Danio rerio: one gene and its partner. The protein of the gene in region 1 purifies or fractionates together with the protein of each later gene. This does not show direct contact. Links are inferred from orthologs where the notes say so. Each region holds a gene or a part of one and is shown on either strand. Other genes may lie near its edges.

Region 1 (4,472 bases):
AAAGTTTTTCCACAAGAAATCACATGGGCTACGTTATTATGCATCCACCCTTCTCCTTGAATGGGTTTTTGTCCTCAGGAACTCCTTTTACGAGTGGATCTTCTGCAGATTGTGCCTCAACCCATTCACATATCTCCTTTGCAGTTTTAGAGACCTTAAGGAAAAAGGGAATGTCAGAATTTAGTTTTTTTAAATACTTCTAAAGCATGACTTAAATAAATATAGCACAAAATCAAGCCACTTTTTGACCTACTAGTTTAATTACCAAGCAGAGAACTTACAGGCTCTCTGGTGTTTTTTGCCTCCTTCTGCAGCTGTTCCAGCTCCATTTTCAGGATATCCTTATCGGACATATCCCGGGCCATCTTGCCCTGAGGAAAGAAAGCTGCAGTCACACTCATGTTAAACCACACACATTGTACATTTACAAATATCTTAAAAAAAAAAAAAAAAAAAAAAAAAGAAAAAGAAAAAGAAAAAAAGGATGTAAAATATTGTTCAGCACGGCAAGTTACAGTCATTTTAAAGATGTATAACACATGGGACAATGGGACAACTGTCTAATTAACTATTTAATTGTTCAGAGGGGAGCAGAACAGGTTCAACATATTTTGTGCAATACAAATTAATTAGGGAAAAAAAACGGCCACAATACAGTTTACAGAGTAAAGTGATGGCTCTTTTTTTGTTGTAAACAGACAGATTTTTTTTTTTTTTTTTTTTTTTTTTTAGTTTTTTCATAACTGAACAATTAAACCTGTTACCCATAAAGTTAGGGTATATAATGGTGCTTAAAAGGATTGTTCGCCTAAAAACAAAAACTTCCTTAATATTTACTCTAAACTTTTATTAATTTCTTCTGTTGAAAACAATGGAGTGTTGGGAAAAAAACATAAAAAAATGGTATGAAAGTCTACAGCGGTTTTTCTTTTAATTCTTCAGAATATCTTCCTTTGTCTTCAGCATTAGCAACAACAAGAAAGTTCAAACACATGGAAGATATATAAATAATGCCAACATTTTCATTCATAGCTGAACTGTCCATTTTATAACCTTGAACTACAATTTTTTGCAATACTGCAAAAGCATTCTTCGTCACAAGTTTGTCTGCAGATGCTGGGTAAAATAAACACTAAAAGTCACTATGACACCAACAACTTTTGTTTCTTTTAACACTTCTGACATTTGCAGATATATTATCAACAGATTAAATTTATTATTTTTTTTTCAGTTCTTTGCACAGCACCAAAAAACAAAAAGAGAATACATTTCTGGGTTAATATCCTTGTTTTTATATTGTTAGATGTTTTATCAATGTTTGGATGACTGCAACACAATCTAGAGCATCTCTGATTTCAAAGCAGCTACTATATATCATTTGGCATCCATAAATATTGTAAACCACACTATCAAGTTTCCCCTGAATGGACTTTTTAGACCACAAAGTTAAAACTGAGTTAATCTTTTCCCTACTCCAATTGATGCCTTTTCTATCACCATATAACAATCTTTCCTTAAACACTGAGACAATAGTTCAAATGCAGTGCACAGTGTTTCCATGACTGTCCAAATTATGTAAATTTGAGGCTCAAGATTCGGTCTCAATTGTTAAACATCTAGCCATATCACATCACTTCACACTGTACAAATTTCACTGCAATGTGGTGTTAATGGAGCAAAACGTTTCATAACCCTGGGTGAAAAGGGATGTTAAAAAGGTAATGAGAAAATCGGCACTGCCACTTTAGCTCTCAAAAAAACGTTAATGTAAAGTTTCGACCAGCGTGGTCTTCATACGGTTAACCTTATAAGGACCATGTAGGTTGAAACGTTGTTAGATTAAAAAAATTGAGAGCTAAAGACTAGTCTTTGACAATTCTAGATGTGCGCACAGTTCTGTTTCCTGGTTGCTTAATATTACGGGATGTTAACCATACTTCATACAAGTGTAAAACGTTCCTTAAATTGATAATTCATCCAAGAAATACAATTTCCATACCATTCACTCATGAATTTCTTTAATCTGTTGAGAACAAAACAAGATATTCTGAAGAAACCAGCAGCCATTGACATCCATAGTACTGTAGGTCATGAATTAAATGGCTGCTGCTTTCTAACAATCTTCAAAATAACATACCTTGTGTTCATCAGAAAAAAAAGAAACCCTTATGAACTATAATATTGAGTCAACAAAGAGAGAATTTACATTTTTGGGTGAACTATTCCTTTGACCAAGGGCAAAAAATTAATTATAAGCATGTTGTAGTCCAGTAGGATATTTTATTTTACTTCTAAGGGAACAAAACTCCTAAGTGCACAAACTTGCCATCTAACTTACATCACCAAGAACAAGGCCTAAATATTAAGAGTCTACAAAGTGTTCTTGACTATCCAGCAAGCATTTTTGTCTCTAAAAGATGTATAATAGATGTCTAATAGACGTCTGAACATGGCCATCTTGGCTGAAACAAAACTAAATTAGGGCTGTCAGTGAAAAGTAATAGACCTCTTAAAATAGGCCAAAACTAGACTAGACCAGAAACGAATGACTACACATATAAAGTCTATCTATTTGACGACTAGTATAGTTTTGGGCTATTTTTAGATGTTTCACAGACAGCCCAAGATTAGCCTTGTCTAAGCCAAACTTTCTATGTTTAGATGTCTATTAGACATCTATAAAACACAAAATTGTTAGCTGGGATGTCACTTAAAATGACGCAGGTGACCATTAGCATTTCCCAGGTAAGCATAATGTTTAAACATGTACTGTAACTCAGCACATTTAGCATGGAAAAGCATACTAATGTGATTAACAATGATAAATCAGTTTTACCATGAATAAGTTGCAATTCAATTTGATGGCATTCATAACATAGCATTAGTTACATGTTTACTATCACAAGGCTACTTTTCTTGGTGTATAACTATTATATTGGTATACAAATAGTATGACAAGAGCACTGTTATGTTTCGCTTACCTATTGGTCAGTGGGTCAGCCGATGGAGGCAACAGGTCACTATCTGCACTTTAAGGGACCATGCGTAGGGTTTGTGGTCTGGCGATGAACTGAGCTCTTGGGGTTGATGCTGTTGTCTCTTCAGGATCTTCTCCAGATGGTCAGAGGTGAAGTGGGGGTGGAGACTGATCCCCAACAAACACACTTCCTTCATCCAGATTTCTGATCAGCTTAAGTCATCTTGGTAATTAAGGAGGTCAAATCACCCTGAAGCAGGACAGAGTGGTTTACATGCCAGTTTGTACTGGCTGTTCTTTTTTACCAGATTTGCTTTTATGTAAAATCTTTTGTCATGGAAAACTGTGGATTTTCTTTAGAGGACATTTCTGTACATGTTAAAGGTCAATATGTCAACTCAAAGACAATAACATACCTCTGTAGACTTTAGGTGAGTGGCTCTGTTTTAAGAAGCAGATGGCCTAGACTTGACTGACTGCATGTGTGAGGCATCTTATAAACAAGTCAATCAGCCTGTTAAAACCCTTTCAAGCAGACTGATATGGAGATTTTTAATGACTGTAGGATGAATGGGATTAATGAATTGTATAATAATTATGTGACCCTGTACCATAAAACCAATTATAAGGGTCTCTTTCTTTTTTTATACATCGGGTTTCCATTGATATATGGTTTATTAGTATAGTACAACATTTGGCTGATATATAACTATTTGAAAATCTGGAATCTGAGGATTAAAAAACATCAAAATATTGAGAAGACATCTTTTTAGCAATGCTTATTACCAATTAACCATTTAGTTTTGATATACTTATAGTAGCACATTTAAAAAATATCTTCATGAAACATGATAAATAAATCAATTTATAATGATAATAATTTCCAATACAATATTTTTGTATCCATAAAATCTATATTTTATTTAATGCCAAAAATGTACCTGTGCAACATAAGACTGGTTTTGTGGTCAGAGCAAACAAATTTTATGCATTTATTTTAATACCAGGAAAGAAGTGCAAATGTAAATAAATTATGTAAATATATATATACATGTACACAGTATTTACTTAACATTCAAGTGTATACATTGCACATTTTCTACGTTAAAAAGACTTTTATTAAAAAGTTAATTATATTAGAAATTAAAATCCTCACCCTCAATTTGTTCCAAACTTGTAGAAATTTTTATTATTAACGATACCATACAGTCGTGCACAGAAAGGATCAAACACAGTGACAGAACCACTTAGAGAATGTACTCGTTTTAACTGTCACTGAGTCACTGACAGAGAAAGAAACATCAAGTGTTGTCTAGTATTAAAAAACACTTCTTATCTATTATCATCATTCAGATCGTGAAATATGTGAATTTGTCTGTAAGTTTAAAAACATATATTTATGTGTGGCATTTAATTAGAAAAGTGGCAGTTTATTTATTTAATACATGGAAACAAAAAAATGCACTTGAATATGGAAAGTGTTTTACTACAGTAA
Region 2 (3,834 bases), on another chromosome or scaffold:
AGCCTCATTTTACAACTTCCCTAACAGTTGAGTTTTACCATTTTTTAATCTATTCATCCAATCTCCGGGTCTGATGTGAGCACTTTTAGCTTAGCTTAGCATAAATAATTAAATTGGATTAGACCATTAGCATCTAAAAAATTTCAAAACAGAGTTTTGATAATTTTCCTATTTAAAGCACAGGGGAAAAACATGAAAAGTTGCTATTTTCTAGGTTGATATGTCTTTATAAGGAACTTTGGTGCTGTACCATAGATGCAGCAGGCGCAGTGAAATTGTAACCTAGCTTGGGACTTTTTTCAGGCGTTGCGTACCATCATTGTACCTGCTGAAGCCATGGTATGGCACCAAAGTTCTTAATCAAAGCCATAAGCTTATTCAGGATTGTGGTTTTAGAGATGTTTGGGCCCTGTAAACCAGGGGTACTCAAACTTTTCAGCCCGCAACCCCTAAAATAACAACTCCACGGGCTTGCGACCCCTATTATGCTCAGAGGTGGTTATAAGCATACAAATATTGCACACAATGGTGCACACACACTAATAGAAACGATATAAACATAAGCATATTGACAACACAAAAACACAGTCCTACAACGATATCTTTTTTACAATCATTATTGATTTGTTTAATTTAATATTAACCTCACTTAATAAGAATGGTGAGCATCATATTTATATGAAAAGACTATTCTTGCTTTAATTTTGGAGAGTTGGAGATCATCCTCCTTGTTCTGTCGTGGCCTTAATTTTTAATGTATGTGAGTGCCAGAAAGGTGTCAAAGTTTAATATTGTACCGTAAAATCAATCTACTGCTCTAACGCTATTGCTGTGATGTGAATCTAGCATAATAACCCCAGGGGTCACAAATAAAATATAATAATTGCTAAAATATGATAATAATAATAGTTTAATAAAATATATGAGATTTTTTTTTAAATCACCAAGCGACCCCCTCCCCTCATTGTCCCACGACCCCTACTTTGAGAACCACTGCTGTAAACAAATTTTTTAAAATGCCATATTGGCTTCCATTAGTACTGGGATATTTTGCCTACTTTAGAAACAGGCCTTACCTCCACGTTCAAATAGTGACAGTACAGTGATTTGGTTAACCTTGTCTTCTGTCCCTCAGGATGCCAGGAAAGCATGCGGAGACTCCACACTTACACAGGTGAGATGAAATTAGATGTATGTGTAATCCTCCAGAGGTCTGTGGCATTGCACTCATGTAGTGTTTGTGCGTGTGGTAGATAACAGCAGGTCTGGACCCAGTGGGGAGGATACAGATGAGGACGAGGCGCACACTGCGGGGCCATTTGGCGAAAATCTACGCCATGCACTGGGGCACAGACTCCAGGTACGTCTGTCCGCTGTCTTCTCATATCTCCTGCATCGGTTCACAAACACACCTGGCATCAAAGACAAGCAAAAATGTAAAAGTAGCAGAAGAGTATGATTCAGTGGCTCGTGACTTGGGTTTTTGTTTTGCACATGTTGTTGGCACAGTATGCAATGCAATGAACAGGACACACTGACCTGCAAACTATCTTTGTTAGTTAATCATCTTAGCCCACACTACAGTCATAATTGAAATGACTTTCTTTAAAGACTTTGTTTTTGTGTCTGTGTGGACTTGGGAATAGTGCATGTACAGTTGATTTTCATGATTGACATGAAAATGTGAATGTTAAAGATGTATACTGTAGAAATAATAATAATAATGAATAATAGTAATTAAAATAAATACTCACCCGAGTCAGGTCATCCAAGATGGAGAACATCAGACATGAGCAGCGTCCTAAATGGCATACTATACTCTATGTACTTAAGCACTTACACACTCAACAGCATATCATATGAATGTAGTGTGTTCCCAAAGGGAACACTAATGGTTTTTTAAAACTAAACAGATATTCAAACGTTGCCAAATTAGTGAAATAAATGACCAAACTACCTAAGAATACTTGCCATGTGTAGAACCACAATCACCATCAGGACTCGGGAGGTGCTATAAGCACTTTCATAGGAAAATTTTGCTTTCACAATCTAAAATAAATAAAGTAATCCAACATCAGTGCCCGATGCTGTGTCCCTTCCGCTACGTAAGCAAAGCTGCAGCTGAGTGCTTGAAGTGTCCAACATTCCACACTCCTGTTTACCGGTTGGATAAGGGCATCATCAGTGTAATTACAAACTATTTACACTGTTTATACAACAAAATGGTGTAGAATAGTGCAGGGATTCTCAACCGGTGGGCCGCAGCCTATTAGTGGGCCTCAGTGATCCTGCAGGTGGGCCGTGAGATAATTAGAATTTACCTAAATATTATACTTTAATTATTTAATTTCATTATTAAACAGGTCATATAAAAATGATAGTAGTAATGCCATTTCCCGTTTTCTGTGATTGAACATAATTCAAACTCAGTCACACAATGGTAAAGGTAACAAAGATGACAGTTATTAAACCCAGCTCGCGCGTGCCTCATGTCTGCGACTCATACTGTTTCAGAATTGCACCAGTCCGTTAATTCACAAACTATGCATGCTCTGTCTTTGTGAACAATTCAAAATATCTGCATAGTTGTCCAAGTTAACATCTTGGGGGTGTTTTATAACTGACGCGCCACCGTACAGGAGCGGTAACTCGGTGGTGCTTCAGTAGTGAACAGCTGTTCACTGTTCAACATCCAGCTACAAACCAAACCACCTTCAGATCAATGTTTCAACAGATTGAATTTTTTTAAATGTATTTTACATGTAGGGTTATGGTTAGGTTGTTTATTTTAATGGCTATAGATCAATAGATGAATAGAAATTAGTCTGATTCAAAGCAGCAGCAGCGTTTTTGCCATCTCATGTAGTCCTGTCAGGTTCCTTTACTGAAGAAAAGGCCCAAATACTCTGCAGTTGTAAAGAATAACTGAATTAAAAATTCAGGAGCTTTGAACCGGTCTGAGCATTTAAAAAAATATTAAAATCTATATTATTATATTTTATATTATATTTAAAAAAGAAATAGTATATATATATATATACATACATATACATACACATACATACACACACACACACACACACACACACACACACACACACACACACACACACACACACACACACACACACACACACACACACACACACACACACACACACACACACACACACACACATACATACATACATACATACATACATACATACATACATACATACAGTAAACACACACACATACAAATGGACAATGTTTTTTTTTTTTTTATAAAATAAGGGAATGATAAAAGGCAAAAGAAATGTTTTGCTAATAAATAAAGCTTTAAAATAAAGACAGTCAGTTTAGGCCTTGCAAAAATTTTCGGAGAAAAAAGTGGGCCTCAATGTGAAAAAGGTTGAGAGCCCCTGGAATAGTGCAGAAGTATGGGATTTGGGACGCACTTAGAGTCTTAGAACATTTAAGAATATCTTCAGCTGAAACTCTGGTTCTTGGTGATTCATAAATCAGAAGTGAACAGTTACTGACATTCTGAAGAAACTAAAGATGGTGTACAAACAAAACAAAATGATTCCCCTTAATTCCTTATGATAATTTAGAAATCTCAGGAAGCCAAATGTTTGAATTGTCTGAGTTCTCCTGTCGCATAATGACAAAAATGAAGACAAGAAGTGTATTACAATCTCATTATGGAAGTATGAAAGGATAACTTTATGTTTTTGTTACATTTGTCATTAAAACATTAACCTAAAATGGATAGTTCACATAAAAATGAACGTTTACTCAATGATTGCTCGCCCTCAAGTGGTTTTAAACATTTATTAGCTTCCTTTTTCT

The links.
Region 2: the proteins of gngt2a (region 1) and gnb2 purify together in Homo sapiens (affinity purification with western blotting; 3 studies listed by BioGRID and IntAct, with this or other methods). This does not show direct contact. The link is inferred for Danio rerio from reciprocal best matches to the Homo sapiens genes GNGT2 and GNB2.

The regions. Positions count from the first base shown.
Region 1 is NC_133178.1:21,838,313-21,842,784, reverse strand, and holds the start of gngt2a (guanine nucleotide-binding protein G(I)/G(S)/G(O) subunit gamma-T2a), read right to left. Parts: upstream 3,126-4,472; 5' UTR 2,982-3,125; intron 386-2,981; exon of another isoform or gene 372-385; 5' UTR 366-371; coding exon 282-365; intron 155-281; coding exon 29-154; 3' UTR 1-28. UniProt on the Homo sapiens protein: Guanine nucleotide-binding proteins (G proteins) are involved as a modulator or transducer in various transmembrane signaling systems.
Region 2 is NC_133180.1:39,184,452-39,188,285, forward strand, and holds part of gnb2 (guanine nucleotide-binding protein G(I)/G(S)/G(T) subunit beta-2), read left to right. Parts: intron 1-1,135; coding exon 1,136-1,174; intron 1,175-1,253; coding exon 1,254-1,360; intron 1,361-3,834. UniProt on the Homo sapiens protein: Guanine nucleotide-binding proteins (G proteins) are involved as a modulator or transducer in various transmembrane signaling systems.